Linked DNA regions of Macaca mulatta. The protein of the gene in region 4 interacts with the protein of the main gene of each other region in a pairwise test. Links are inferred from orthologs where the notes say so. Each region holds a gene or a part of one and is shown on either strand. Other genes may lie near its edges.

Region 1 (3,963 bases), on a different chromosome or scaffold from region 4:
AAAAAAGAATATGTATTTTATGTAATACCACATAAGACTTTTTTAAAAAAATACTTAAAAAGAAAATAAAAGAAAAAACATAATTTAACAGAGGGCATAGTTCTCAAACTGTTTTCTCTGTCTCAGGACCCCTTTACACACGTTACTGAGGATCCCCAAGAGCTTTTAGTTTTGTGGGTTATATTTACTATGGACATTAAAGTTGAGAAATGTTTAAAAAAAATACACAATTCCATTAGCTGTTAGAGCAGTGATATCATCACGTCAAGCAGCCTCTGGAAAACTTGACTGTTCACTCTGAGAGAATGAAAAAGACAAGTAACATCTTAGTATTATTATGAAAGTAATTTTGGCTTCGGGGACTCCTAAACCGAGTGAGTTTAGGAAATCTCAGGGGTCCCCAGACGACACTTTGAGAACCGCTGGCCCAGGGGGAAAATGACAGAAGAAAACACACTACACGACAACAGTTATTCTCTCTCAGTGCTGGGATTATAATTTATTTGCTTCTTTGTGCTTTTCTGTTAAAAAAAAAAAAATAAAAAGGAAAGGAAAACAGAAATGGAAAATACAATGACCACGTATTGTTTCTGCGAACAAAAAATGAGACAGCACACTCGCCTCCCTAAGATTTTTGAAAGGCCCAAACAGCAATAGCACATTTAGCTGCATGGAAGAATTAAACTGAGCTCAAACCTGAAAATAAGAGTCCGATTTCCCGTTTGTCAATCCCTGGGCTGTGAAGTGCAGGGTCTTGCCCTCAAAAACTCCACGGTTCACCTTGGGGAGAGAATGTACTCGCATACATACCTGTGCTGCAAGGTTCCCAGGGCCCCAAGGGCAGCGGTTGCATCCTACACAGTATTGTAAACTCCGGTGTGCAGCAAAACCACCCATCGCAGCTGCAAGCCGCTCCAAACCGCTCCCAGCCGCTCCAAGCCGAAGTTCAGCCCTCAAACTAGTCAGAGACCCTCCGCAGGACGCATGCGCGCTTACAAACGCAGAGTTAGGTGGGGCTTGAGGGAGACTGACACAGAGTTCGGCCTCTCAACTTTCTAGCTCCGCCCGCATGTCCTGTCTCCTTCTCTGAATGGCTGAAAGGCTGCGGAAGTAAGCTTCCCACGGGCCGCGGACGGAACCCACATCCGGTTTGCACAGCGATCCCGACGGCGCGGAGGCAGCTATGGTGCGGTTCAAGCACAGGTAAGCATTCCCTTCCAGACCCACCCAGCGCCTTGCCAGGTCCCCGCGGCGCCGCTAGCGCCCACCTTCCTCTCGCCTGCCGCAGGTACCTGCTCTGCGAATTGGTGTCTGACGACCCCCGCTGCCGCCTAAGCCTCGATGACCGAGTTCTGAGCAGCCTCGTACGGGACACTATCGCCAGGGTGCACGGGACTTTCGGCGCAGCCGCCTGCTCCATCGGCTTCGCGGGTGCGAGAGCGTTGGGGGAAGAGGGGAACCCGGGAGGATGGCGGGACGTGGAGGGGGCAGGCGCCGGAGGAAGAAAGAAGGGGCACGAGTGGCCAAGCCCGTGCATCGTTTTTTGTAAGGTATCTCTTTAAGCGCCGGGGACCGCAAGCGAGAGATCCACACGAGTCCGAAATTAGCAGAGAGCTAAAAGGAGGGGCCCGAAGGCAGTGGGTCTTTGAGCTAGAGGCCTCTTTTTGCCTGCTTGACAGGTAATTTCTGTAATTGGTTGTGATTGAATTTGATAGGATAGAGAATTAAATGAGGGAAGCTGTATCTAGTTCCTAGTAAGAGCTATTATGACCGATTACATTAACATCACATGGAAAAAAATTGTCGAAAGTATCCTTGGGAATGCCCTTAGTTGGTAAAGTACAGAACACATGATCGTCAATATATGTGAATACAGGATGAGCCGGGACAAAGAGGGGCCCGGGGCCCTTCTTCCACACCATTTATATTAGTTCCCCCTTTTACCTTGCTTGAGGATTGACTTCTGGAGAGTTAAATGCAGATAGGCTTAACTCATCCTTAAGTCAGGTGAGACTCAGCTGACTGCTACAAGAATTACAGAGCCCAACTGCAGTAAAACAGCCTATTTTTCAGGCGAGGGTTTTTCCTAAATTAAAATGGATCGCCCTCCTACCTGCTCCTATTTATTGAATTAACTAGTGAATTAGAAAGCATGTTAGATTCTAAATTCATTCACCAGTTCTGAGTGGTGTGCAACACAGTGGGTGTTTTGGCTTTTCTCTTTTACTCGCTGAAAGATCCTACGTGCCACTTGTGCTCTGTTACTCTAAAGTTTTTTTGTTTTTTTTTTTTTTTTTGAGACAGTCTTCTGTTGCCCAGGCTGCTGGAGTGCAGCAGGGAGATCACAGGTCACTGCTGCCCCCACCTCCTGGGTTCAGGCGATTCTCATGACTCAGTCTCCTGAGTGGCTGGAATTACATGCGTGCACCACCACGCCCGGCTAATTTTTGTATTTTTAGTAGAGACGGGTTTTCATCATGTTGGCCAGGCTGGCCTCGAACTCCTGACGTAAAGTGATCTGCCCGCCTCAGCCTCCCAAAGTGCTGGGATTACAGGTGTGAGCCACCACACACAGCAAAATTTTCCGAAATGATTTTTTTTTCCCTGTTGTAGTTCGATACCTCAATGCCTATACTGGAATAGTGCTACTTCGATGCAGAAAAGAGTTCTATCAGCTTGTGTGGTCAGCTCTTCCCTTCATCACATACCTGGAGAACAAAGGACACCGTTACCCATGCTTTTTCAACACGTTACATGTGGGAGGTAGGAGTGACGTGATACGGCTACTGATTTTCAATAGGTGACATGTTCAGAGTTCAGTCTAGACTGGTGGGTGGGTCTTCCTGCTGTCCCGCTAACAAGACACTTCCCCTACCTCTGAAAGTAAGGTCGAGACCTTTCACAAGCTGTTGACCGCAGTAACTCACATGCCAGGTACAATAAGAACATGTCAGAAGTTCCTAATTCAGTACAACAGGAGACAGCTGTTGATCTTGTTGCAGAACTGCACTGATGAAGGTAAGCAATACTAGCCCAGTGCCCGCTGAGCAGTGACTGACCTCGAGCTGAAGAAATCACTCCCAAAGACATCTTTCATCCCTATCTGCCTTCTCCAGGAGAGCGGGAAGCTATCCAGAAGTCTGTGACAAGAAGCTGCTTACTAGAGGAGGAGGAAGAGTCAGGTGAGGAGGCTGCAGAAGCAATGGAGTGACCCTCTGCTCACCACACAGCAGGCTACACTGCTCAGGCTTCGGGCCCACTTGTTGAACAGAACAATCTGGGTAGCAACAGCATCTTCTACAGTTTTCCAAGCTGGATAGCTGCCAACCAGCGGACATGTTACCCACTTGAAATAGAGTACTCAGTTAAACTGAAGTTGCCTTTACCTAGCATTCCCTGGTTAAGTGTTGCAGGTTGTGAACTCTATGTAGACATCTTTATTGCTTGGCTAAGAGTAGATTTAATAAATGTATTTGGTTTCCGTGGCATTTAGTATACTTATGTTACAAAAAGGGCTTATGGAGTCCATGCTTGGCTAAGTCTCTGTTCTCTATCCCTAGCCTTGGTGGGAAGAGTGACTCCCTGTGTGGTACTAAACTTTTTTATTGAGACAGTCTCACTCTGTCACCCAGGCTGGAGTGTACTGGCCCAATCTCGGCTCACTGCAACCTCCACCTCCCGGGTTCAAGCAATTCTCCCACCTCAGCCTTCCAAGTAGCTGGGATTACAGACGTGCACCACCACACCTGGCTAATTTTTGTATTTTTAGTAGAGACAGGGTTTTGCCATGTTGGCCAGGCTGCTGTTGAACTCCTGGCCTCAAGTGATTGGCCTGCCTTGGCCTCCCAAAGTGCTGGGATTAAAGGCGTGAGCCACTGTGCCTGGCCTAAATTTTCAATACTTAGCCTTCTACCTGAAGCTGTGTACCCCCGGCCCCAAGATGGGCCCTAAGCAAGACAAGTC
Region 2 (3,955 bases), on a different chromosome or scaffold from region 4:
GAGATCTACACCGGCAAAGCAGAGGTGGAGTTCTTGACACGGAACAGCAGTGAGCAGAGCCTGGGCCTGGTGATGACGCAAACCAAAAACAACTACCCACCCCCAACAAGTCCTCTCTTCTCACACTTCTTCCTCCTCCTTCCCCTCTTCCTCCTTCTCCTCCCCCTCTTCCTCCTCCTTTTCTTCCTGCCCCTCCTTATTCTCCTATTCCTCCTCCTGATCATCCTCTTCTTAATTCTCCTCCTCTTTCTCTTCCTCACTGGTGCAGGGGGTCATGAATGCTGCCTTCCTGGGGCTCCCCTCATGCAGTGTAAATGATCCTAAAGACGGGCTGGACCCTGCAGCCTCCCCTGCCGGGCTTCACTTCTCCCCCACAGCTCTTCCTCAGCAGCCCTGGCTCCTTCTGGCAGAGGCAGGCCCCAGGCAGGCTCCTCCAGGTCCCACATGGCCTGGGTGCCAGTGGGCATTCTCAGCTCAAAGTTCACAGGGTGGATATTTGGGGGTGTCCAGATGACCAGGCCAGAGCCCCCAGCCACACCGTCTTCAGCCCCTGCTTTGTTGGGGTCCCCATCTGAAGCCCAGCCACCCCCTGTGCTAAGTGTAGCTGTTCCCTGCTTGTGTCTCCTATACCTGTTAGGGGCCATGGGCCTGGCCCCCACTGAACCAGATGCTATTTGGTCTAGGTTGGTGAAGTCCCTTCCAGCTGGTGGAAAGTAAAGGGGCTTGATCTTGACCTGGCTTCCCTGTCCCTCTGCCCCAATCAAGTTCCCTGTTAGTGTAAGCTGCCCTTTGTTCAAATGTCCCTGCTGCCTGCCAGGGGAAGGAGTGCTTGGGTCTTCTGAGCCTATGTTTCCCAGGGCTTGGGATGGCTCATGGCCCCAGCCCCTGCCTCGTTTCCCGACTCCTCTCCTGCAGCCTGTGGCCCCTCCCTGCCTGGAGTCTGGTTTTCAGCCTTGGGATACATGGCCTGGCCATAGTCTTCTTCCCTAGTGCTTTCACTGCACGACAGCCGCCTGCGTTTCACTAATGGGGGTAAGCCTCCCTGTACAGTCTGGGTGCTGCTGTCGCTCAAAGACCTTGCCTGCACGGTGGCCTGAGGTGCAGAGGCACTGGCTTCTGCTCTTGCCTGTCTACCAGAGGCCCCCCGGCCTCTCCCTGATGGCTTCTCCTTATTCTTCATCACTGCCTCAGTGTTCTCCCACTCTTCTTCATCTCGAATAAGCTTCATTAACTCCAGAAAATTGGGAGGACACCCTCGCTGATCCAAGAGCTCCAGCTTGCCTCTGAGGGCGGGGGTCATGGAGACCCGAGCTAAGAGATGTTTCAGACGAATCATGTCTGCGCTGCGCACTGACAAGGGGCTCTTCTGCACTGCTTTCTGCAGCAGGGGCTCTAAGCGCAGCAGGAAAGTGGAGACTTTCTCTCCAATCTTCGGAAAGGTCTGCAGAAACTTAAACTGAGAGGCTCTGAAGTCCTCTTTATCCCCAAAGATCTGCTTTAAGGCGTCAAGGCACTGCTCCACAGTTATGGAGTCATTGTTGGCCTGGAGCACCCGCATGATTGACAGAGCAGGCCCTCGTAAGCTCTCCAGCAGACGCCGTCTCTTCTCCATCTCAGACACTTGCCATATGGGCATTATCTCAGTGACCTGCTCCAGCCAGTCTTCAAAGGTCTCTTCACCTGGGCTAGCGGAAGCAGTTCCCGAAAACACTTTCAGTTTCCGGTACCACATACTTTCTTTCAGAGGCTCTAAAGGTGGGGGTCTAACTTGGGGTACGACCTCTGCATCCAGGCTCTCGGCAGGGAGGCTGCAACATCCCAGGGCTCTGGCCACATCTGTCATACTTCGGCCCTCATCTTTCAGGAAGTAGTTCAGTCTAATGAGAAACTCGTCATCTGGGTTACGGGGTTTTACCACCACTTCCCAGGAGCCCCCCTTTCCTGGTATGTGACTAGGCAGAGTAGTGTAATCGACAGTGTCAGCCAATTCAATGAAGACTGCCTTGGCGTTGTCTTCCCTCCTGAACATTCTCCCTAGCACCCTGTATGCGCGCAGGGGCTGTAAGCCTGCCTGCACAGTGTCCTGAATTTCCACCTCACTACACTCCACGGGGATGCCTATGATCAGCAGGGCCTTTCTGGGGTCCATGTCCATCCCCTTGCACCAATCCTCTAGCAGTGTCAATGCCATTGCTCCCACTTTCTATGGACTGATCTAATACTAGGGCAGCAATCAGCTTAGTTTGACAGCACTCAAATAACTCTGAGCCACTGCCACGTAGGAAGGTAGAAGTGGTCCCAGGTTTCCACAGCCTGCAAAGCAAATGGGATGAGAGCATTGTTAATGCCTACCCCAACCTATACCCCCAAGCACCCCTCCTCTGCCCCCACCCCCGAGCAGGGATGGAGTCCCTTCTTCCCAGGGTTCCCCAAGTTATTTTGGGGAGGGTAGAGGGTGGAGGTTCTCCCCAGGCAAAGATCTCCTCATCTCACCACTCCCTGCTGACCTCCTCCTGCTGTGGGTTCCTCCTCGAAGTCCAGAGGACTCTGCTGTGTGTGCTTCGGGTATCTGTAGTGAAAAGGCCAAAGTCAGGAGGCAGGGCCTGACATCTGGGGACACTGACAAGCTCTCCAGGCAGAAGAGGGCAGGAGACGGCCTCACTGCTCACTCAGGGCTATGTGGGCTCAGGTCACCCAGCACCCTCCTTGCTGGAGTGAAGGCTGGCAGCAGGAGAGGTAGAATGGCCCTCTTTCTCAGGAACGCCTGACAGATGAGAAAGATGGCCGAGCTCTGCGCAATGCAATGAGAGTGGTGGGTGTGGAGATTGTGTGACAAGCTGCAGTGTTGCCATGGATACAGAGAATACCATGGACCATGGGTTGCTATTGCAGGGGAGTGTCATGTGGTAAGGCTAAGGTCCTTGAGAAGCAACAGGTGATGTCATTGGCCTCCAACCAATAAAGCTTCCCAGCAAAAAGGAGGGTGGGAGAGGGAAGGCGAGGTGGGCTTGAGGAGTGAGTGCTGAAAGGACAGGAGCTCATGGTTTCAATTGTGTGGAAGCTGAAATCAGGTAGAAAAGGGACCCTGATGAGGTCCCCACTGCCAGACTGCAGGAAACCAACAACTCTTGCCCTAGAGATGGCCCTACCCTGCAGAGTCTGTGAACGCTGGCAGGCAGTCCCCTCTCCACACTCTTTGCAGGGGTTCCAGAGACCCTCCCAACAGGGCCCACCTCACAGCTGCTCACCTTTCTGGGTTGGCCCTGCTGGCAGCGCAGATGCTGCAATAACACAGTCACTTCAGAGTCGCTCTGCTCTTCAACTCTATCCAATTAGGCAGTTCCTGACTCAGGCGTGATGGTTCCTGCTTCCCTGGATCTGTCCAAGGCAAAGCACAGGTATTTTGCTGTGATTCTGTCCCACACACATGTCCCTGCTCAGGCCATGCCAATTCAGATTCTGCATAGGTGTCCACTAGGACCCTGGTGCAGGGGTAGAAGAAACTGCACAACTGGCAGAGGGAAGAGGAGGGGGGAAAGGGGGGAGGGGTGGGGGGGAAGGAGGAGTGGGGGGAAGAATGGCGAGAGGGGTGGGAGGTGAGGAGGGAGGTGGGGGGCGGGGGGGCTGCTGCTAGGGCAGAAGGGATCCTAAGGTAAGGTTGCGGCCCCACCCCCACTGCAAACTTCATTCCCTCCCAAGCCCCACCCCTGCAGCCATGTTGCACCCCTTCCTAAGCCCCACCTCAAAACTTGCACGCCTGCTGCCAAACTCTGCCTACAACTAAGTTGCACCTCTACCCCAAGCCTAGCCCCCCACCAAGTCCAACTCCTTCCACCACCCAAGTCTAACTCCCGCCTCAAGCCCTGCCCTCACCCACAGTCCAACTCCTACCCCAAGCCCTGCCCCCTCACCAAGTCCAACTCCTACCTCCATGCAAGTCTAACTGATGTCCCCA
Region 3 (3,500 bases), on a different chromosome or scaffold from region 4:
CATTTTGCCAGTAAATATATATATATATTTTTAATTGAGATGGAGTCTCACTCTGTCACCCAGGCTGGATGCACAATCTCAGCTTACTGCAATCTCTGCCTCTTGGGTTCAAGCAATTCTCGTGCCTCAGTCTCCCAAGTACCTGGGATTACAGGGTGTGCACTACCATGCCCAGCTAATTTTTGTATTTTAGTAGAGACAGGGTTTCACCATGTTGGCCAGGCTGGTCTCGAACTCCTGAACTCAAGTGATCCACCCACCTCGGCCTCCCAAGGGATTACAGGTGTGAGCCACTGTGCCTGGCCTAGTTTGCCAGTATTTTGTTGAGAATTTTTGCATTAATGTTCATCAGGGATATTGGCCTGAAGTTTTGTTTTTTTGTTGTATCTCTGGCAGGTTTTGGTATCAGGATGATGCTGACCTCATATAATGAGTTATGGAGGAGTCCCTCTTTTTTAATAGGAAAAACATTCATGTGATAAAAAAATTTAAAAAGCTACAGCAAGGTAAACAGTGAAGAGTCTCCTTCCAGTAGCTTCTGCTGGCTGACCAGCCCTCTTCCCAGAGGCAGCCATTAAACATTTCTTGTGAATCTCTTCAGAAATGTTTTATGCATCAACAGTTAGATATATACATTTTCCCTATGTTCTATCCCACCCCTCCTTTTTGTTATACCAATGGCAAACCACTATATACAATAATGCTTTTTTCACTTAATAATGTATCATGGGCTTCATACCATATCAGTACAAACAGTTTCTCATTCATTTTTAAGCAGTATCATATTTCATCACATGGATGTATCATAAAATATTTAGGAGTTCCTTATTTAAATGAACATGTATCTTGTTTATAGTCTTTGGCTATTTTTATTATTTTCTTACCTGAAACTGTCTGAGCAAATCTGATTGCTTCTTCAACCGGGTCTGAGTTCACAACTTTATCTAGAATGCCCAGCTTGAGTGCTTCACCTGCTAAAATATGTCTTCCTGAAATAAACAACAACAACAAAACAATCAAAGAACAATGTAAGATTAAAGCAAAAGCATTACTCTCTCTAGCAGGAAAGGCTGTCTGTCTGGATATAAATATCTACTATTGAATAAGGTAAGTAAGAACCACATTGACTGATAGAGTAGAAAGATCACCACCAAGGTAACCAGGAAACTTGGATTCAAGCTCCAGCTCTAGTTTCCACTATTTGTGTGATCATGAAGAACTGCACCAGGACCACCATTTCCTCATCAGCAAATGGCAATAATTATGCTTATCTCAGTAATTCTGAGTATTAAGTGAGAATAATAGATTCTCTTTATATTCTATAACTCTCTACAGAAGTACTTTATGAACTACAAATCTCTATAGAACTCTATAGAAAAGTGAGATGTTTAGTTTTCGATAATAATAATAGAAGTAGTAGCAGCAGAGTAACATATAGTATCTATCCTATCCCTAGCATACACCACTGGCTGTGGTTGGTTTAAAAAAAAAAAAAAGAAAGACCAGGCACGGTGGTTCATGCCTGTAATCCCAGCACTTTGGGAGGCTGAGGTGGGCAGATCAACTGAGGTCAGGAGTTCGAGACCAGCCTGGCCAACATGGTGAAACCCTGTCTCTACTAAAAATACAAAAATTAGCTGGGCATGGTGGTGGGCACCTGTAATCCCAGCTACTCAGGAGGCTAAGGCAGGAGAATCGCTTGAACCCAGGAGGTGGAGATTACAGTGGGCTGAGATCACACCACTGCACTCCAGCCTGGGCAACAGAGCTAGACTCCATCTCCAAAAACAAAAACAAAAATAAAAACAATAAAAAAGAGAGAAAAAATAAAAAAAGATAGTTCCCAGACATAAATATAGTTAGCTCAATGAGAAAAAAAAAATAAGTTGACATTCTATAAGGTATAATTAAAATTACATAGGACAAATGGGATGGACTTCTGCCAGTTTTTGGCTACCCAGCATCTCAACTCTTCCCTTAGTTTGTGGAATGGCTATTGTGTAGGCTTTGAAGCCCTGCCTCCTACTACAGAAGCTGAAAAGGACACAGATGATTAGACAATTGACAATTTGACTGTGGCAGCTGGAGTGTGGCCCATGACCCCAGTTAGTGAACTGAGTGCTCTGTTGAGGGTTTTTAGCTTGCAGTTAGTGACACTAAGCAGCAGCAACAGGTTAAACCTCATTTTACAGCTGCCAACATCTAGTGTCTGGCAGTGGTGGTGCTGGTACACTTAGCATCCAGTCATACCATTGGCATCCTCCAGTACAGAATGTCAGCAATAGGGGATATAGAAGTTTGATGAAGGTTTGCGCCGTTCCTAAATTTGCCTTGACAGTTCTTCACCCATTGTAAATATGCAATTTGATCCGCATATTCTGAGGTAAGAGGTAGGGGACATCAGCATCCCCTATCCCAGGGTCAGAAGGAAGGAGATAGTGACACACCGCTTGCTTTCTTGCCAGTACCATCTTGCCTTCTGAAAAGCAACCATCAAATCTGTCTTGGTGGCAACAGTTCCACAGTCTTCACTGCACTTACAGTGTTGGTGGATGCCATCGGAGACAAACCTTACATTCCTGGTTCTTATTAGTGCTTCAGAGAACTACAAATGAGTTTTCTTGATTGGATAGAAAGTCCGGTGATTTTTTTTTTTGTTTTGGTAGGTGTCTCTTTGAAAAGCAGTATTTGGACAGTTTTCTGGAAGTATTTCTGAAAACAGGCTTTCAGACCTCCTCCTGGAGTAAGGAGTAGGATAGGAAGTACATAAGTAGTTTCCAGGGTCAAGTATCCTGTGTATAAAATCACTTTGGTAAGTAGAGGGTGAACAGCCTACCCAGGTTAAGGGAACCAAGCAAACACAAAATGGAACATGGAAACCTGGATACTATTACAAAAGGATTTTGAGGTCAACTAAGCAGGGAGAATGTGAGCTACTCCCAGATGGACTACAAATTTCTTTAGCTGTAATGATTTCTTCTGGCTTGGATTTCACAAAATTGGAAGAGTATCACTACTATTCTAACAGAGTCAATGGGATTCCAAGTACAGTCATATACCATATAATAACATTTCTGTCAACAACACATATATGATGGTGGTCCCATATGATTACAATATCATATTTTTACTGTACCTCTTCTATGTTTAGATGTGTTTAGATACACAAAGACTTTCCATTATGTTACAAATGTCTACAGTATTCAGTAAAGTAACATGCTGTATAGGTTTGTAGCCTAGGAACAATAGGCTACACCATATAGCCTAGGTGTGTAGTAGGCTATACCATCTAGGTTTGTGTAAGTAAACCATGATGGTCACATAACAACAAACTCATGTAATGATCATTTCTCAGAATATATCTCGTTGTTAAATGATGCGTAGCTGGACTTTTATCCTGTTTCGAAGAACTAAGGATCTAAAGACATGGCTCTGTATATCCAATCCAGATTCTTAGGCTGTAATTTAAATTTGTTTTTTCTTATGACACCGTAAGTGTA
Region 4 (3,500 bases):
ACATCCTAGTGGGCAGAAGAGCAAGGGGTATCAGGTGTTAGCTAGCACAAAAGGAAATAGCCAAATGTGGAGGCATGTACCAGTGAAGACAGACTCGGCATAGGCATGAGGGTGAGATTAGACAGTGAGAATTTGCTCCAAGGAGCACCCATACCTGGTTTTTCTCTTGCAGGTCAATTTGTGACGTCTTGAAATCAGGACTTGGAGAGTTTGCACTTAATCTAATTTTCTTATCCAAGAGCTCTTCCATTTCTTTCACCTGGATCTTCAACCTTCTATTTTCTCTCTCCAGTCCCTGCTTTTCTGTTTCAAGTATTTCCCTCTTGTCCCATTCCGAGCTGTTTTCAGCTTGCAATCTCTCTAGCTACACACAGAAAACACAAAAAAGCAGCATGCAGCATTTGCAACTGCCAAAAGGTAACGCCACCGACAAACAGACTCCCATTAAGAAAGGTTCATGGATATGTCCATTGATATAATTTTAAAAAGAAAATTCTATTTGTTTGAAAACATGAGAAAAATACAAAAGTCTGAAGATCAGGCCAAACCGTAGATAAATAGACTTTTCCTCTTGGTTCACATAACTATCTCTACAGCCATATGGACCATATTTTTCAAATACATGTGTCAAGTGAAAAACTGCTGCTCTTGGGAACACATTAATCTCCACTCTCAACTGATGAACATTCTCAGTGGAGAAGACACAAAACCATTTTGTGGGCAATTTTGATTGGATATATTCCACTTATTCATTCACTCATTTATCTAGGGAATAGATAAATGCTATATATCTATCTTTCTATCTATCTGTCTGTCTATCTATCTATCCATCCATCCATCTATCTATGCAACATTCGCAGTTGCCAAAAGGTAATGCAAAAGGTAATTTCATTTTGGCCAGGCGCGGTGGCTCACGCCTGTGATCCCAGCACTTTGGGAGGCCCAAGCGGGCGGATCACGAGGTCAGGAGATCAAGACCATCCTGGCTAACACGGTGAAACCTCGTCTCTACTAAAAATACAAAAAATTAGCCAGGCGTGGTGGTGGGCGCCTGTAGTCCCAGCTACTTGGGAGGCTGAGGCAGGAGAATGGCGGGAACCTGGGAGCTGGAGCTTGCAGTGAGCCGAGATCACGCCCAGCCTGGGCGACAGAGTGAGACTCCGTCTCAAAAAAAAAAAAAAAAAAACGAAGAAAGAAAAGTAATTTAATTTTATATTGAAATACATATATATACTTTATAATTTTGTATTTTAAAATTTTACATTAAAATATTTTCAATGTAAAATTATATAAAATTGAAACAATACTACAAAGAAAATCTTATTGGGACACAGCCGTGCTTCGCACTTTGCCTATAACTGCCTTCACACACAAAGGCTAAGTTAAACTGTTGAGAGAGAGACCATATAGGTAGTAAAGCCCTAAATAGTTACTTTGTGGTCCTTTACACTAAAGTTTTGTCTACCTCTGCCCTCTTCCCATGGTTCTCAACCAAGGCTGCATGGTATAGCAACATGAGGAGATTTTTATAACCATCAATGACCAGAAGCCTACTTTAGAAATTCCGATTTAAGATAATTTTAACATCTCCTTTGCTTTTTATTATTTTAGTGTTTTTATGTTTTAAAGAGGCAGTATCAAATGTATTTATTTTCTGCAATTTTATTACATCTAAGTGCTCATTATGATGAGGTGCAATTATATTCATCTGCTATAATTTTTTTTTTGTGGACATTGTAAGTAGAAGTGAATAGTAGCTTTTTTTTTTTGCTGTAAATTATAGTCCTGAGCTATGCATTCTAATCTGACTTCACGATTTATCTTCTGGATAAGCTTAGTCAGGTAACTTCATCTACCCCAATGTGGACAATTTATCTAATCTGATGAGGTTTGTGAGAAGTGAAATTAATCAAGGTAATTAGAAAGCACTTTGTCTAGCAATGTAATACTTAAAGGAGCAACACTGTGGTAATATAAATTTTTTTAAAAAATGTATATTTCTCTCATATATTTGGGCATATGGACATCAATGTAATTTATTGCATATATCTATACAACAGAGTAACTCTTTACAGTAGAAAATCTATTAGAATCTCATCCTGGTTCCACCACTTACTCACTGTCTAATTCTGGACATTTATTGTCTTATTAAGTTTTCTTACTAGTAAAATTAGTATGGTACCATACATATAATACCATAAATACAATACCACAAATGCCACATTTGTGGTATTGTATGGACAGAAGAGGGTCAACTACTCAAAATTCCTTGCAAACTATTTAGGATGATTAAAGTATGAGGCATTTTAAAAATATCTCAAAAGGATAAACATTCTAAATTACTTGTTTTTACATTGTTAATTATAATGGCTTGATTGCAGCATACTTTATAATTATCATACTGTTATAAAATCTGTTGCTATGACATGTTAAATTCTAAAAACCCATCAACTTAGTCAACATTTAGAAAAATGTTACATTTCAAAAATATCCTTTATAATATCATAATAAATTATGATATAAAAGCCTAAAAACTGCTTTTTCATATATATATAATTGTACCATTATTGTAGAAAATGTTCTGTTCCCAAATCTAAGAGATGCTCTGGCTTCTAAAATGTAGGAAACCAAAATTACATTCTTGGCACATTTACCTATTATGTATAATAAACTAAGGGTCAAATTTTAGATGATGTAGTTTGACATTTGGGATGCTTGTTTGGGAATATGAGGTGAAAATATTATATCACAATTTAATTTAGTACATTACATTACTTTCATTGTTAAGATTAATACTTACAGTTTCTATCATTGCCTCACTTGTCAGAATAAAAATAATAAAGTTGCCACAAAAAGGCAGCAACTTAGTAATGAAAAATTAATATAAGGAGAGCAAATGTATTTTTGGGCTAGGACAAATATGCTGTGTCAAGTCTTTGCAAACTTGTAGGATTCTTTTAAATGTTAAAATTAAATAAATTGATTTAACACTAAATAACAGATAACAAGTAGAACCAAGGTTTTAAATAAGTAATACATGGTCTGAATGAACAAATTTTAACTCTTAAGATTTTTTTTAAGTAATGATTTTAGCAGTAGCAACAACAAAGCTTAAATAATGCCTTCTGATGTTTTACTATTTACAGATTTATCAAAACATACAAATTATTTGATAAATATATGCATATAACATATATTAAAAATTAAAAATCTTATAAAAATTATTAGTAGTTTTAGTTATTTTGTAAAACTGTTTCTTATCACATTATTCTTTTCCAAGAATCATATGAAAATCCACTAATTTAAAAAGCATTTAATTGCATGTACCTTAAAATGATAAATAAAAAATCAAGTAATATTTTAAGCTCTCAGAGTTTACCATAAAAAATTACAATAATTTTATCAAATGGAAATAGAATTCCATTGCTTTGCTTCTGATGATGAAGAGAAACTCCTAAAATATTTTAATTCTTACTCAACTGTGAATTTTAACCATTAGT
Region 5 (4,024 bases), on a different chromosome or scaffold from region 4:
CAAACTCTTCCACCCACGCCTCCCTTGCCACCCCTCTCCTCCAGCAGTCTGGGAGGCCTGAGGAGCTGAGCCCGGTTCTGCCCTCCAGAAGGACCCTGCATCTGAAAAGTCACACCAGCTGGAGAGGGGCTGGGCTGCGAGGCAGGGTGCCTGACTGCCCGGATCTGTCATTTAGGCGAGTTATTTGACTGCAGTGGGGCTATTTCCCAGCAGTTTCACAAGGACTTTCAGTTAAAAATGGTTCCCCATGTTCCTTCTAGCTTTGGCATCTAAACTTGCCTGGGAGTTACGGTGGTCAGGGGAAAGCTCTTTTTCAGGTGAGGAAGCACACTCAGAGAAAGTAAACCTCTTGCGTGAAAGCACACGGCTTAGCTAGTGGGGCCGGGGCTGGAACTGGAAGCAGGGTCCGTCTGACCCCACGCTCTTGCTGTCTCTGCTGTGCTCTGACCATGCTTCCTTGGATGTGGGTCCCTTCTCTGCTCCACAGTGGATACCCCGTTGAACTCATAACCTGAGTATCCATTGGTGGCAGCAAGAGGAATTGTGTTCTTTGGAGCAGAGAAGCATTCCCAAAGATGACACAAAAGTCAGAAATCATTAAAAAAGGATAGGTTTGATTACATTTAAAAAATCTATACAAACTTCTGTAATGATCCAAAATGCCCTGCAATACAAAGAAAAGGAAAAAAGGAGAAAATGTTTGCTATATATTTAAAAAAGGATTAATATCCGTAGTATACAAAGAGCACTGAAACCTATAAGCATTACCCAATTAAAAAAACATGAACTGGGTATTCACAAAAGAAGAAACACAAATATATATATTATATACATGATGAGCATCCTTTTTTTTTTTTTTTTTTTCTTTTGAGACGGAGTTTCGCTCTTTGTAGAGACAGGGTTTCAACATGTTGGCCAGGCTGGTCTCAAACTCCTGCCTTGGCCTCCCAAAGTGCTGGGATTACAGGAGTGAGACACTGTGCCTGGCCAACATCATTTTTTTTTTTTTTTTGAGACGGAATCTCACTCTGTTGCCTAGGCTGGAGTGCAGTGGAACGATCTCGGCTCACTGCAACCTTCATGTCCCAGGTTCAAACTATTCTCCTGCCTCAGCCTCCTGAGTAACTGGGATTACAGCTGTGTCCCACCAAACCCAGCTAATTTTTGTATTTTTAGTAGAGACGGGGTTTCACCATGTTGACCAGGCTGGTCTTAAACTTGCCTCAGCCTCGCAAAGTGCTGGGATTACAGGCGTGAGCCACCCCCCCGGCCATGATGAGCATCCTTATGGGCGATTCTACCCAGCTATCAAAGTGCTTCTCAAAGCTACCAATCAAAGCAACCTTGGCTCCTTCTCAGGACTCCCACGCACACTCCCTGGATCCCCAATCCCAGCTATGTGGGGCAGGTGGGGACCACCTGGCAGCTTAGGGTGCCAGATCAAACTGGTGCCTGGTCCTGAGTGTGTGGCATTACAGAAAGAGTCTTAATGGGGAGGGTGGAGTCTGCGGAGGTTCAGGGGCAGCTGTGGGCAGAGAACATCAGGAACCAGAGACATCAAAATCAAGGGTAATAAAGTGGAAATCACACTAAGGCCTGAGCACCCCCAGCTATTTGGCTTATTCAAGCTGAGTATAACTACAAAGAGGGTATTCCCCGTTTGCAAGTACCGATGTGCCTTTGGTCTCAGCTCCTTCTGGTATCCCTGTGGGTAACACCATCTAGGGCAGGGGCTCTGCCTTGCTAGTGAGAGGAAGGTAAGGGGTCCCTTGCACTGAACTGTTTATATCTCATTGCAATAAGATTCTAGTCCCTTCCTGGCAGAACCCTGCTGCTAGGCCACAGCTTTTTATTAAGCACCCACTATGTGCCAGGCACTGTTCTGAGTGCTGGGGATACAGAGATGAACAAAACACACAAAAATCCCTTCTCTCCAGAGACCCAAGCATCTGCGTTCCAGGGCAGGGGCCTAGGCCCCAGAAAATCAGGGCCAGGGCTAGGAGAGCATGGGGGCAGTGGGGGCATCAGGGCTGCCAAGGTAGCAGCCTGGGAATATCCTGGGAGATATTGGATGGGGGTAATGAACCATCTCAGTGGGCTCTCAGACTGTGTGACCCCAGCAACAAGAGGGCAGAAACAAGCAGGTAAGGGTGGTCAGCACTGACAACACCCGCAAGTACACTGCATTCCAGTTCCCACGTGGCCCAAGAGTATAGGGCAGCTAACCTGGGAGAGCCACAGAGACCGCCTCACTCCCCATTTCACAGCTGTGAAAACTGAGGCCCAGAGAAGGGAAGCTTTTGTCATGATTAAGGAACAAATGAAACTTTGAAGGAGAGACTTTGAAGGAGGGATGGATTCATGCAGGTGTGTGGCCCATTCCCCTGGCCTTACCTTTTTGTTTTTCAGTCCCATCCTCTTGAGGCCAGGAGTGTCTGGCCTTGTTTAACAATCTTGGGGACGAGTACCTGGTATAAGTGGGTGATCAGGCATCAGTCCTGCCCAGACAGTTGGCCTGGGCGTCTTGGAGTCCTTATGGTTAGTGGACAGTATGGAGGTCAATGTGGTCTCAGGGGTGCCACACACCAGCCCTGGGGTCTGGATGTTGGGGAAGGGGGAGGGTGGCCAGGTGGGGGCAGGTCCTCGATCTCTCAGCAGCAAGATGGTCTATGGGTGGAGGGGCCTAGGGGGTTGCAGGCCATGGCCAGTTGGACAGGGTCAGCAACGAGGCGATTGACTCTTGGCACTCCCAGGACGGTGGAGAGATGGGAGAGCCCTCTCTCTGCCCAGGCCTGGAAAAGCAGTGAGCTTTTCCACCTAGCTGGGTCACCTGGGCAACATTGTGTGATGTCACAGGGCAGGGCCAAAGTCACACAGGCACCTGTCCAGGTGCAGTGAGCTAGAACACGAATCTCTTTTCCCTATTCCTGGAGCTGTGTTCCACCTGCCGCCTGGCACTCAGGCCTCACCCTTCCTGTTCTTGGTGCCTCACATAGTCTCCACCGACCCTGTGGCATGGCCAGCCCCATGCCGCTCACACTGCAGCAAAAGAGGAAGCCAGACACTGCTCTCAAGAGCGTGGCAGCTTGATCGGTAAAACAGCTACTTCTGTTGAAGAATCTACCAGCCATCGTGCCTCTTTGGGTACCTATAGTCTTCCATTTATTTGATAATAATAAACACAAACTTCAAGAGGATGGTTTCTTCTGGGAGGGTGGGTGGGAAGATGGGGGAGAGAAGAGGGTAAGAGCATACATTCTAAACCTTTGGGTTTTTAGATTGGGTGGTCAGTTAATGGGAGTTCATTATATTATTGAAAATAAATTAGAATTAAACAACTAAAGAAAGCCATGATGGGCCAGTGATGGCACTAGAGTATGAACCAAAGATTGTGGTTCAGTTCTGAGTGCTGCAAGAAATTATTACGAAGACAAAGTATGTCTTTTAGTGGAGCATTTGCAGCACACCAGGCAGGGTTCTAAGTGCTTTTGGTGAGGTGAGATGGCAGAATGAGGAGAGGCTAGTCGTTGGCCTGGGGTGGGGAGTTGTTCTATAGAGAGGTGAGGTCTGAACTGGGCTTTGAAGGATCATCAGAAATCCTGGGCTAGAAGAGGAGGGATCTGGGGTGCTGGGTGGTGGTCAGAGGTGTTTGGGAGGCCCCTGTGGCCTGCCTCATTTCTACCTATTTTGGGCCCCATGTTGGAGATTCTTTTAATCTGGCCGAAGAGCAGGACCAGCCTGGCAGCCAGGAGGCAGAAGACTCCTGCTTTGCAGAGGCCTCCCAGCCTCCCTCTCTACCCCCCCTCCAGAAAGAGCAGCAGCGAGGATGTGGTTCTCCCCAGGTTAGAGACAGAAAAACTGAGGCTTTGTCTTTGATTAGAACTGAAAGGACCAGCCAAGACCACCCAGACACTGGTGGGAGATGGAAGTCGGGAACCCCACTCCTAATTTTCTCCCCGTCTAGGCCTGCCAAGAGTGGTACCGCTGGGGCTCTGGGACTGGGGGCCTGACCAGGAATGGCCTG
Region 6 (4,107 bases), on a different chromosome or scaffold from region 4:
ATGGGGTTGACAGCATTATCTTTTGTGGTTATTTGATTAAACATTTACTAATTGTGCATATTTTGGAGCCAGCAGTTTTTTTCTACCTTTCCATTGCCCTCCCACCTTTCCTCTTTTGCCAACCTTTTCAGTTCCTTGTTGGATGTAGATATTTAGAAGGCTTACAGGCTACATGGGAAAAGTACCCTATACCTTAACCTCTTCCACCTCTTGAGCCTGGCCTTTGTGTAGCAAATGTTGCTTAAGGGGCAGTGGCTTCTCCCTTCTTCTGCCTTGACCCTGCCCATTTGTAGAGTGACCTGCCTATGTATTCCTTGATTTTTGATTCTGATAAAGCACTTGACATTTTAAACATTCTTTTTTTTTTGAGACGGAGTCTCACTCTGTTGCCCAGGCCATAGTACTGTGGCACGATCTTGGCTCACTGCAACCTCCACCTCCCCGGTTCAAGCGATTCTCCTGCCTCAGCCTCCCAAGTAGCTGGTACTACAGGTGCACGCCACCATGCCCAGCTAATTTTTGTATTTTTAGTAGAGACGGGGTTTCACCATGTTGGCCAGGATGGTCTTTATCTCTTGATCTCGTGATCCTCCTGCCTCGGCCTCCCAAAGTGCTGGGATTACAGGCGCCCCGCCACATTATTCTGTTTTTTGGTAAAGCACATTGTAATGTCAGTATATACCACCCCAACTCCAAATTCTGTTGCAGTCAGGGGAGGTGAGCAGTGTCATTCTATGCAGTAAGCAGTTAGTGCTGGCTTATATTAGCGATACTGAGATTTATTAAAGATAGTTCCTATTCCATAGTAGCTTTAGCATAATGGGCACACTCAATAATGAGAATACTGAGGGGTTGGGAGCCTTGGGAAGGATGCTGAAAAGGGAGGTCAAGAAAAGTTTTATTTAAGAAGTTGAAGGGGGTTTGGGAAAAGGAAGGATAATATTTAGAGAAATGGATTAGGGAGGAGGTTGGTTGAAGCAAGGGTAGGGAGAATAAGAACAAGGGTGTGTGAGGCAGGAGATGGGATGGACGTTTGTGTATTATGTACCAGACTTTGCTAGGTTACATAATTCATTTGCTCCTCTGGATGGCCTGTGAGGTGGGCTATAGTATCTCCATTTCGTAGGTGAGAAAACAAGATTGGAGAGGTTAAATGGTTTACCTAAGTTACTATGTGCTGGTAAGTGGCAGAGCCACTATTTGAACCCAGATCTCTATGATGACAGTTCTTTTGCCCATATGCTTTGATGCCTCAAAGATCCAGGCCTAAAGTGTACCTGTGTACCATTTTCTTTGTTTTGACTTCAGAAACTTGAACTTTACCTGATTTCTGTATGTTGTCATCTTGTGTACGCCCGGTCCCCACGACAGTCCGGTTTGTAGATTCTCTGATCTGCAGTTCTTCCCGTTCCTTCATGGATTTGAAGGCTCTCCTTTCTTCCTTGAATGACTTTGCATCCCTCTCCTTTGCTGAGAGTTGGGACAATGTTGGATTACTGGTGGAACCAAGCCCACCACATACTGTAAATACGCTCTTCCTGACCAATGACCTGACTGAGGAAGTGATGGAGGAGGGGCTGCAAAAGAAGGCAGACCTCATTCTCTCCTACCATCCGCCTATCTTCCGACCCATGAAGCGCATAACCTGGAACACCTGGAAGGAGCGCCTGGTGATCCAGGCTCTGGAGAACAGAGTCGGTATCTACTCTCCTCACACAGCCTATGATGCCGCACCCCAGGGCGTCAACAACTGGTTGGCTAAAGGGCTTGGTGAGAAGCTTCTTTCATATTTGATATTTTCCCTGCAAATACTTTGAAACCTTAGAATGTCTGTCCAGTAAAGTTTTAACTGCTTTAGGGTTGGGGAGGGTATGATTCCATTTTTGTATAATAAATTTAAAATAATGTTGCTGAAATTTGGCAGTTAAATTGCATTTGAAAAAGGAAACATTTTTTATTCTTACGGAGTTAGGAGAGCAGAAGTCTTCCTTACTGGGCTGAACTTCGTGATCCCTCACTTTTGTGGCACAATGCCTGTCACCCAGGCACTTGAAAAATGCTTGTTGAATTGAAAGCTCAGGTCTCTCCAGAATACACTTGATTGATAAATCAGGCAAATAGACATCTGGGTTTTAGTGAATGTTTTTAGTGAATGTTTACTTATGCCTAGGGAATGATGTATGGATTTTAGCTTTACTTTAGTAAGTCTTTTGTTTACTCATTTTGGGCTGAAGCTTTTATTATGATATCTGGATTAATGTGGTCAAATAAAGTATGAGCATTTGCAACCTGAATGATGGTTTACATGGGTAGATTTACCAAACAGTAGACCATTCTGTGTATTATCTGAAAATGTATGAATCAGTCTTTCTTGTCCAAGTTTTTCAGAGATTTAAGAATCTTTTGGAAAATAATTCTGAAATAATTTGATTTTGTACATCCATACCAAAGCCCTAGGGGACTGGTGATGTATATCTAAAGGATATATGTATGTGTGTGTATGTCATATAAGCATGAGAATGAATCTTTTAAAAAAGTCATTTCTTAGAAATTTTGCCTATAATAGTTTATCTTACTTTTAAATGTTAACCTCTAACCCCCCAAAACTCCCATTTTCCCACAATATTTTCTCTAGGAGCTTGTACCTCCAGGCCCATACATCCTTCCAAAGCTCCCAACTACCCTACAGAGGGAAACCACCGAGTAGAATTCAACGTTAGCCACACCCAAGCCCTGGACAAAGTCATGTCTGCAGTGAAAGGAATTGGTGATGTTTCTGTCACTTCTTTTTCTGCTAGGTACAATTTATTTTTCTCTTTTTTGTGTGTGTATTTATTTGTAAGCATCTTCCTTACAAAGTCTGTAACCCTGGTATTTAGGCTTGAAACAAATAATTTTCTCTAGAGTTGGTTTACAAAGCAGCATACTCCTCATTTGTCTGTGGGTCCTGGAGACCTATGGAATTTTTTCAAAACAATAAAAACAACAAGTAACACTTATTAAGTATTTTCTATGTCAGGGGACTATACTATGCATTTTATATACAGTATTTCTAATCCTGTTGATGTTCAAAGATAGTTGTTTTCACTTTAGAGAACACAGATAGATCCTAGTGATGTGGTGATGAGGCTTTTATTGGTTCCCAGCAAATCAGTGATTTCCAAGCACTTTCTTTGTTTTTTATATTTATCTTTACATTTTAAATATATATTTTCATAAATCAGTTTTTTAATTTAACATCATGGGAAATACTTTTCTGAATAATCTTTGTTTGTTTGTTTTAAGAGACTCCCAGGCTGGGCGCAGTGGCTCACACCTATAATCCCAGCACTTTGGGAGGCCAAGGCTGGTGGATCACCTGAGGTCAGGAGTTCGAGACCAGCCTGACCAACATGGAGAAACCCCGTCTCTACTAAAAATACAAAATTAGCTGGGTTTGGTGGCGCATGCCTGTAATCCCAGCTACTCGGGAGGCTGAGGCAGGCGAATCACTTGAACCCAGGAGGCGGAGGTTGCAGCGAGCCGAGATCGCTCCATTGCACTCCAGCCTGGGCAACAAGAGTGAGACTCCATCTCAAAAAAAAAAAAAAAAAAAAAGCGATTCCCATGCTGGAGTGCAGTGGTATGATCGTAGCTTGCCATGGCTTTAAGCTGCTGGTCTCAAGCAGTCTTCCCACCTCAGCCTCTTAATTAGCTGGGACTATAGCTGCCAAGCACTTCAAGTGAAAAATACATTAAGTGCCTCTTTATAAGGTCAATCATTATTTAGGGCAGAGATAGGAGTTTTTTTGGTTTGTTTATTATTTATTATTATTTTTGAGACGAAGTCTAGGTCTGTCACCCAGGTTGGAGTGCAGTGGCACAATCTTGGCTCACTGCAACCTCCGCCTCCCTGGTTCAAGCGCCCGCCACCATGCCTGGCTAATTTTTTTTTGTATTTTTGGTAGAGATGGGGTTTCATCATGTTGGGTGGGTTGGTCTTGAACTCCTGACCTCGTGATCTGCCTGCCTCAGCCTCCCAAAGTGCTGGGATTATAGGCGTGAGCCATGGTGCCCAGCTGTTTTTTTATTTTTTATTTTTGAGAGACAAGGTCTCACTTCGTCACC
Region 7 (3,500 bases), on a different chromosome or scaffold from region 4:
CTCAGCTAGTCTCTAAGCTCCTTGAGGGCATCTTGTTTTTGACTCCTCAGTGCCCAGGTATAGTCTGGCATACAGGAGACATGCAAGCATCGCTGACTGACTAGATGTGTAAGTCTCAGAGCAGGTGAATTCACAGCAGAAATGGGTCTTGAAATTGCAGACTATTTTGAAAACATAAATCAGATACATGTCTCCTAGTTCTGAACTCTTTGTACTAGATCTTTAATGAGCTCATGTTAATCCACATATTATAAAGAGCTTTTAAAGTTAAACTTTTATGTTTACCATTTAAAATGGCCCAGACTAAGTATTTTGATACATGCCCTCAGTTCTATGGGTGGATCAGAGAGAAAAGACCAAATGGCCACCAAATGACCCTCAAGCAAAAGTCATCTAGTAAGCTGATAAGCCATTAAACATTTTGAAGAAAATCCTACCTCTGTATATCATTAAGAGTACAAAGGGCTACTTAAGAGAAAATATTCTGAAATAACTATGTTCTGTCCTTTTAAGGATACATTTTATTTTATACTCCACAAATAACTTTGAGTTACAAGCTTACCTGGAACCGTCACTAAGAGAGGCTTCCCTGATGACCACTGGCTGAACTTCCTTTAAATGTAATTTATCCTGGTACATTTTCTCTAATTTTGCCATAGTTTCTAGGTGGGCAGCCTTCAACTCTTCTACTTTCTTGAAATACTCCTCATTAGAGTGGTGAATACCAGGAAAGTTCACAAAGTCCTCAGAGCTTATTGGTACATGTTCATCCACCCCAGAAAAGCTGGTGTTCAAATCAGCCTGGTGGGGAGAAAACACCTGTTATATGGTGACTGGAGCTGAAAGACAAATTAAGCTGACACTGATCCAAAATGCTGCTTCCTAAAGAGTCCACCTAGTTAGGTTATACGTTAATTATGGGTTATGCATATAGAATGAGTTACAGGTTATTTGTGTGTACATTTTCCCCAGTGATATTTTAAGAACAAGAGGGAGCGAGACCAAACTGTCAGAAAATAAATGTTATTTAATCCATTTGATAAAGGATGGTTAGATTCCCAGATCAACCAACAAAAGGTATAACAGGATAGAACCCAACAATTGTTTACAAAGTATTTCTATAAGGAGCCTCCTGAGTTGTAAGTTTTTTTTTGTTTTGTTTTGTTTTTTTGAGACAGAGTCTCGCTCTGTCGCTCAGGCTGGAGTGCAGTGGCGCCATCATGGCTCACTGCAAGCTCCGCCTCCACGGTTCACACCATTCTCCTGCCTCAGCCTCCCGAGTAGCTGGGACTACAGGCGCCCGCCACCGCACCTGGCTAATTTTGTGTATTTTTAGTAGAGACGGGGTTTCACTGTGTTAGCCAGGTTGGTCTCGATTTCCTGACCTCGTGATTCACCCGCCTCAGCCTCCCAAAGTGCTGGGATTACAGGCGTGAGCCACCGCGCCCGGCTTGAGTTGTAAGTCTTAACTGAGATGAAGAGGAACACAGTTCTTCCTGCTGCAAACCAGGCAACCACAGCCCAATGCTCTCCCTTCAGCTGCGCTTCTGAAGTGTGCCTCCAAGGACTGCCAGTGAGAGAAGGCAGGGAAATAGAGGGAATGGAGGCGGGGACAAAGTTCTCAGTGGCTTATCAAGGAGCCAGGGAGAAGCCCTCCTCACAGTGGGGCAAGACCTTGGGAGGGAGTAAGAGGACATGGGAGGGGGTAGGAGGGATTTTCAGGGCAGCTGCTCCTGGGCACAAAAGCAGTAGCTCCCATGGGTGACAGGGACTTTGGGATGACAACAAAGCAGAGAAGAAAAAATGGTGTAATTATTCAACACACAGATCATGTTTAGAAGGGTCTGACTGGCCTTTCTCCCTCACTCCCTTTACATACCTTTCAGGTTTTTTTTTTTTTTTTTTTTTTTTTTTTTTTTTTTTCTGAGACAGAGTCTCACTCTGTCACCCAGACTGGAGTGCAGTGGTGTGATCTCGGCTCACTGCAACCTCTGCCTTCTCCTGCCTCAGTCTCCCGAGTAGCTGGGATTACAGGTGCCCACCACCACACCCAGCTAATTTTTGTATTTTAGTAGAGATGGGGTTTCACCATGTTAGCCAGGCTGGTCTCGGACTCCTGACCTCAGGTGATCCACTCCCCTCAGCCTCTCAAAGTGCTGGGATTACAGGTGTGAGTCACTGTGCCCTACCCTTTCAGTTCTTTTAATTGAAGCAACTAAAGAGATAAAACCCCATTTTCTCTATAAATATACAATTTTTATTATGTTTTCAGTTGAGAAACAGTTGAAATTATTTATGATACTATGCATAAAAGACTGCCAACCACGGTTTTAAATTTAGTCTACTGTCTGGAACAGACGCAAAATGAAAAAATTTGCTACAGAAAATTATAGATCCAATCTGATAAGACTCTAGAAAATAAATCTGTTTAGCTTCTCTCAAAAGAAAAATTCAGAAGAGTCAATTATAAATAGTAGTTATAGATGTGGTGTTTTTGTTTCCCATTGGAGGCTTCTCAGAAGATATGGTGTTTTTTTAATGGGCTAAAATCAGTGTATAAGAGGACAATGTTGTACTATTTGGGGTAACTTAGAGAAAACAAGTTTTAAAAAATCAGTCTTCAGGGGCCAGGCGCGGTAGCTCATGCCTGTAATCCCAGCACTTTGGGAGGCCGAGGCAGGTGGTTCATGAGGTCAGGAGATGGAGACCATCCCGGCTAACACGGGAAAACCTCATCTCCACTAAAAATACAAAAAATCAGCTGGGCATGGTGGCGGGCGCCTCTAGTCCCAGTTACTCGGGAGGCTGAGGCAGGAGAATGGCGTGAACCCGGGAGGCAGAGCTTGCAGTGAGCCAAGATCGTGCCACTGCACTCCAGCCTGGGGCAACAGAGCAAGACTCTGTCTCCAAAAAAAAAAAAAAATCAGTCTTCAATAGAACTTATATGTAGAAATTTGCTACTAACAACTCTATGAATCAGAACTGCTTTAAGTATGTCAAACAATTCAATTAAGAGAATTCTCTGATATCTTCTGCTGTTTCTGTATGTGCTTCTCACCATAAACTTCTTACCTGTAGGATGACTACTTTGTGAATTTCCTCATTCATTAAATATTTGGGGGCTATCTTGCAATCAGCTAGCTGCTAAAAGGTATGTCAGTTTTTTTTAAACTCTACCTTTGAGGCCAGGTGCAGTGGCTGACACCTACAATCCCAGCACTTTGGGAGGCCGAGGCAGCCAGATCACTTGAGGTCAGGAGTTTGAGACCAGCCTGGCCAACATGGTGAAACTTGTCTCTACTAAAAATACAAAAATTAGCCGGGCATGGTGGCACGTGCCTGTAGTCCCAGCTACTCAGGAGGCAGAGGCAGGAGAGTCACTTGAACCCAGGAGGTGGAGGTTGCAGTGAGCCAAGATCGTACCATAGCACTCCAGTTTAGGTGACAGAGCAAGACTCCGTCTCACTTAAAACAAACAAACAAACAAACAAAACTCTACC

What was found.
Region 1: the proteins of CCDC102B (region 4) and POP5 interact in binary tests that used the Homo sapiens proteins (3 or more experiments, as listed by UniProt). The two-hybrid records come from large-scale screens. The link is inferred for Macaca mulatta from reciprocal best matches to the Homo sapiens genes CCDC102B and POP5.
Region 2: the proteins of CCDC102B (region 4) and PNMA5 interact in binary tests that used the Homo sapiens proteins (3 or more experiments, as listed by UniProt). The two-hybrid records come from large-scale screens. The link is inferred for Macaca mulatta from reciprocal best matches to the Homo sapiens genes CCDC102B and PNMA5.
Region 3: the proteins of CCDC102B (region 4) and EHHADH interact in binary tests that used the Homo sapiens proteins (3 or more experiments, as listed by UniProt). The two-hybrid records come from large-scale screens. The link is inferred for Macaca mulatta from reciprocal best matches to the Homo sapiens genes CCDC102B and EHHADH.
Region 5: the proteins of CCDC102B (region 4) and CCDC33 interact in a two-hybrid assay, tested with the Homo sapiens proteins (2 studies listed by BioGRID). The two-hybrid records come from large-scale screens. The link is inferred for Macaca mulatta from reciprocal best matches to the Homo sapiens genes CCDC102B and CCDC33.
Region 6: the proteins of CCDC102B (region 4) and NIF3L1 interact in binary tests that used the Homo sapiens proteins (3 or more experiments, as listed by UniProt). The two-hybrid records come from large-scale screens. The link is inferred for Macaca mulatta from reciprocal best matches to the Homo sapiens genes CCDC102B and NIF3L1.
Region 7: the proteins of CCDC102B (region 4) and FAM161A interact in binary tests that used the Homo sapiens proteins (3 or more experiments, as listed by UniProt). The two-hybrid records come from large-scale screens. The link is inferred for Macaca mulatta from reciprocal best matches to the Homo sapiens genes CCDC102B and FAM161A.

Annotation. Positions count from the first base shown.
Region 1 is NC_133416.1:127,903,018-127,906,980, reverse strand, and holds POP5 (ribonuclease P/MRP protein subunit POP5), read left to right. Parts: upstream 1-1,163; 5' UTR 1,164-1,183; coding exon 1,184-1,203; intron 1,204-1,288; coding exon 1,289-1,431; coding exon of another isoform or gene 1,432-1,550; intron 1,551-2,613; coding exon 2,614-2,763; intron 2,764-2,888; coding exon of another isoform or gene 2,889-2,934; coding exon 2,935-3,018; intron 3,019-3,116; coding exon 3,117-3,211; 3' UTR 3,212-3,483; downstream 3,484-3,963. UniProt on the Homo sapiens protein: Component of ribonuclease P, a protein complex that generates mature tRNA molecules by cleaving their 5'-ends. Also a component of the MRP ribonuclease complex, which cleaves pre-rRNA sequences.
Region 2 is NC_133426.1:159,265,446-159,269,400, forward strand, and holds the start of PNMA5 (paraneoplastic antigen-like protein 5), read right to left. Parts: upstream 2,801-3,955; 5' UTR 2,670-2,800; exon of another isoform or gene 2,570-2,669; 5' UTR 2,508-2,569; exon of another isoform or gene 2,494-2,507; intron 2,314-2,493; 5' UTR 2,192-2,313; coding exon 845-2,191; 3' UTR 1-844.
Region 3 is NC_133407.1:97,376,196-97,379,695, forward strand, and holds part of EHHADH (peroxisomal bifunctional enzyme), read right to left. Parts: intron 990-3,500; coding exon 885-989; intron 1-884. UniProt on the Homo sapiens protein: Peroxisomal trifunctional enzyme possessing 2-enoyl-CoA hydratase, 3-hydroxyacyl-CoA dehydrogenase, and delta 3, delta 2-enoyl-CoA isomerase activities. Catalyzes two of the four reactions of the long chain fatty acids peroxisomal beta-oxidation pathway.
Region 4 is NC_133423.1:11,770,362-11,773,861, forward strand, and holds part of CCDC102B (coiled-coil domain-containing protein 102B), read right to left. Parts: intron 365-3,500; coding exon 155-364; intron 1-154. UniProt on the Homo sapiens protein: During interphase, forms fibers at the proximal ends of centrioles to maintain centrosome cohesion. During mitosis, dissociates from the centrosome following phosphorylation to allow centrosome separation. Contributes to CROCC/rootletin filament formation.
Region 5 is NC_133412.1:52,149,774-52,153,797, reverse strand, and holds the start of CCDC33 (coiled-coil domain-containing protein 33), read right to left. Parts: upstream 2,801-4,024; 5' UTR 2,416-2,800; coding exon 2,395-2,415; intron 1-2,394.
Region 6 is NC_133417.1:105,994,551-105,998,657, forward strand, and holds the start of NIF3L1 (NIF3-like protein 1), read left to right. Parts: upstream 1-1,307; 5' UTR 1,308-1,334; coding exon 1,335-1,770; intron 1,771-2,635; coding exon 2,636-2,798; intron 2,799-4,107. UniProt on the Homo sapiens protein: May function as a transcriptional corepressor through its interaction with COPS2, negatively regulating the expression of genes involved in neuronal differentiation.
Region 7 is NC_133418.1:62,893,282-62,896,781, reverse strand, and holds part of FAM161A (protein FAM161A), read right to left. Parts: intron 802-3,500; coding exon 563-801; intron 1-562. UniProt on the Homo sapiens protein: Involved in ciliogenesis.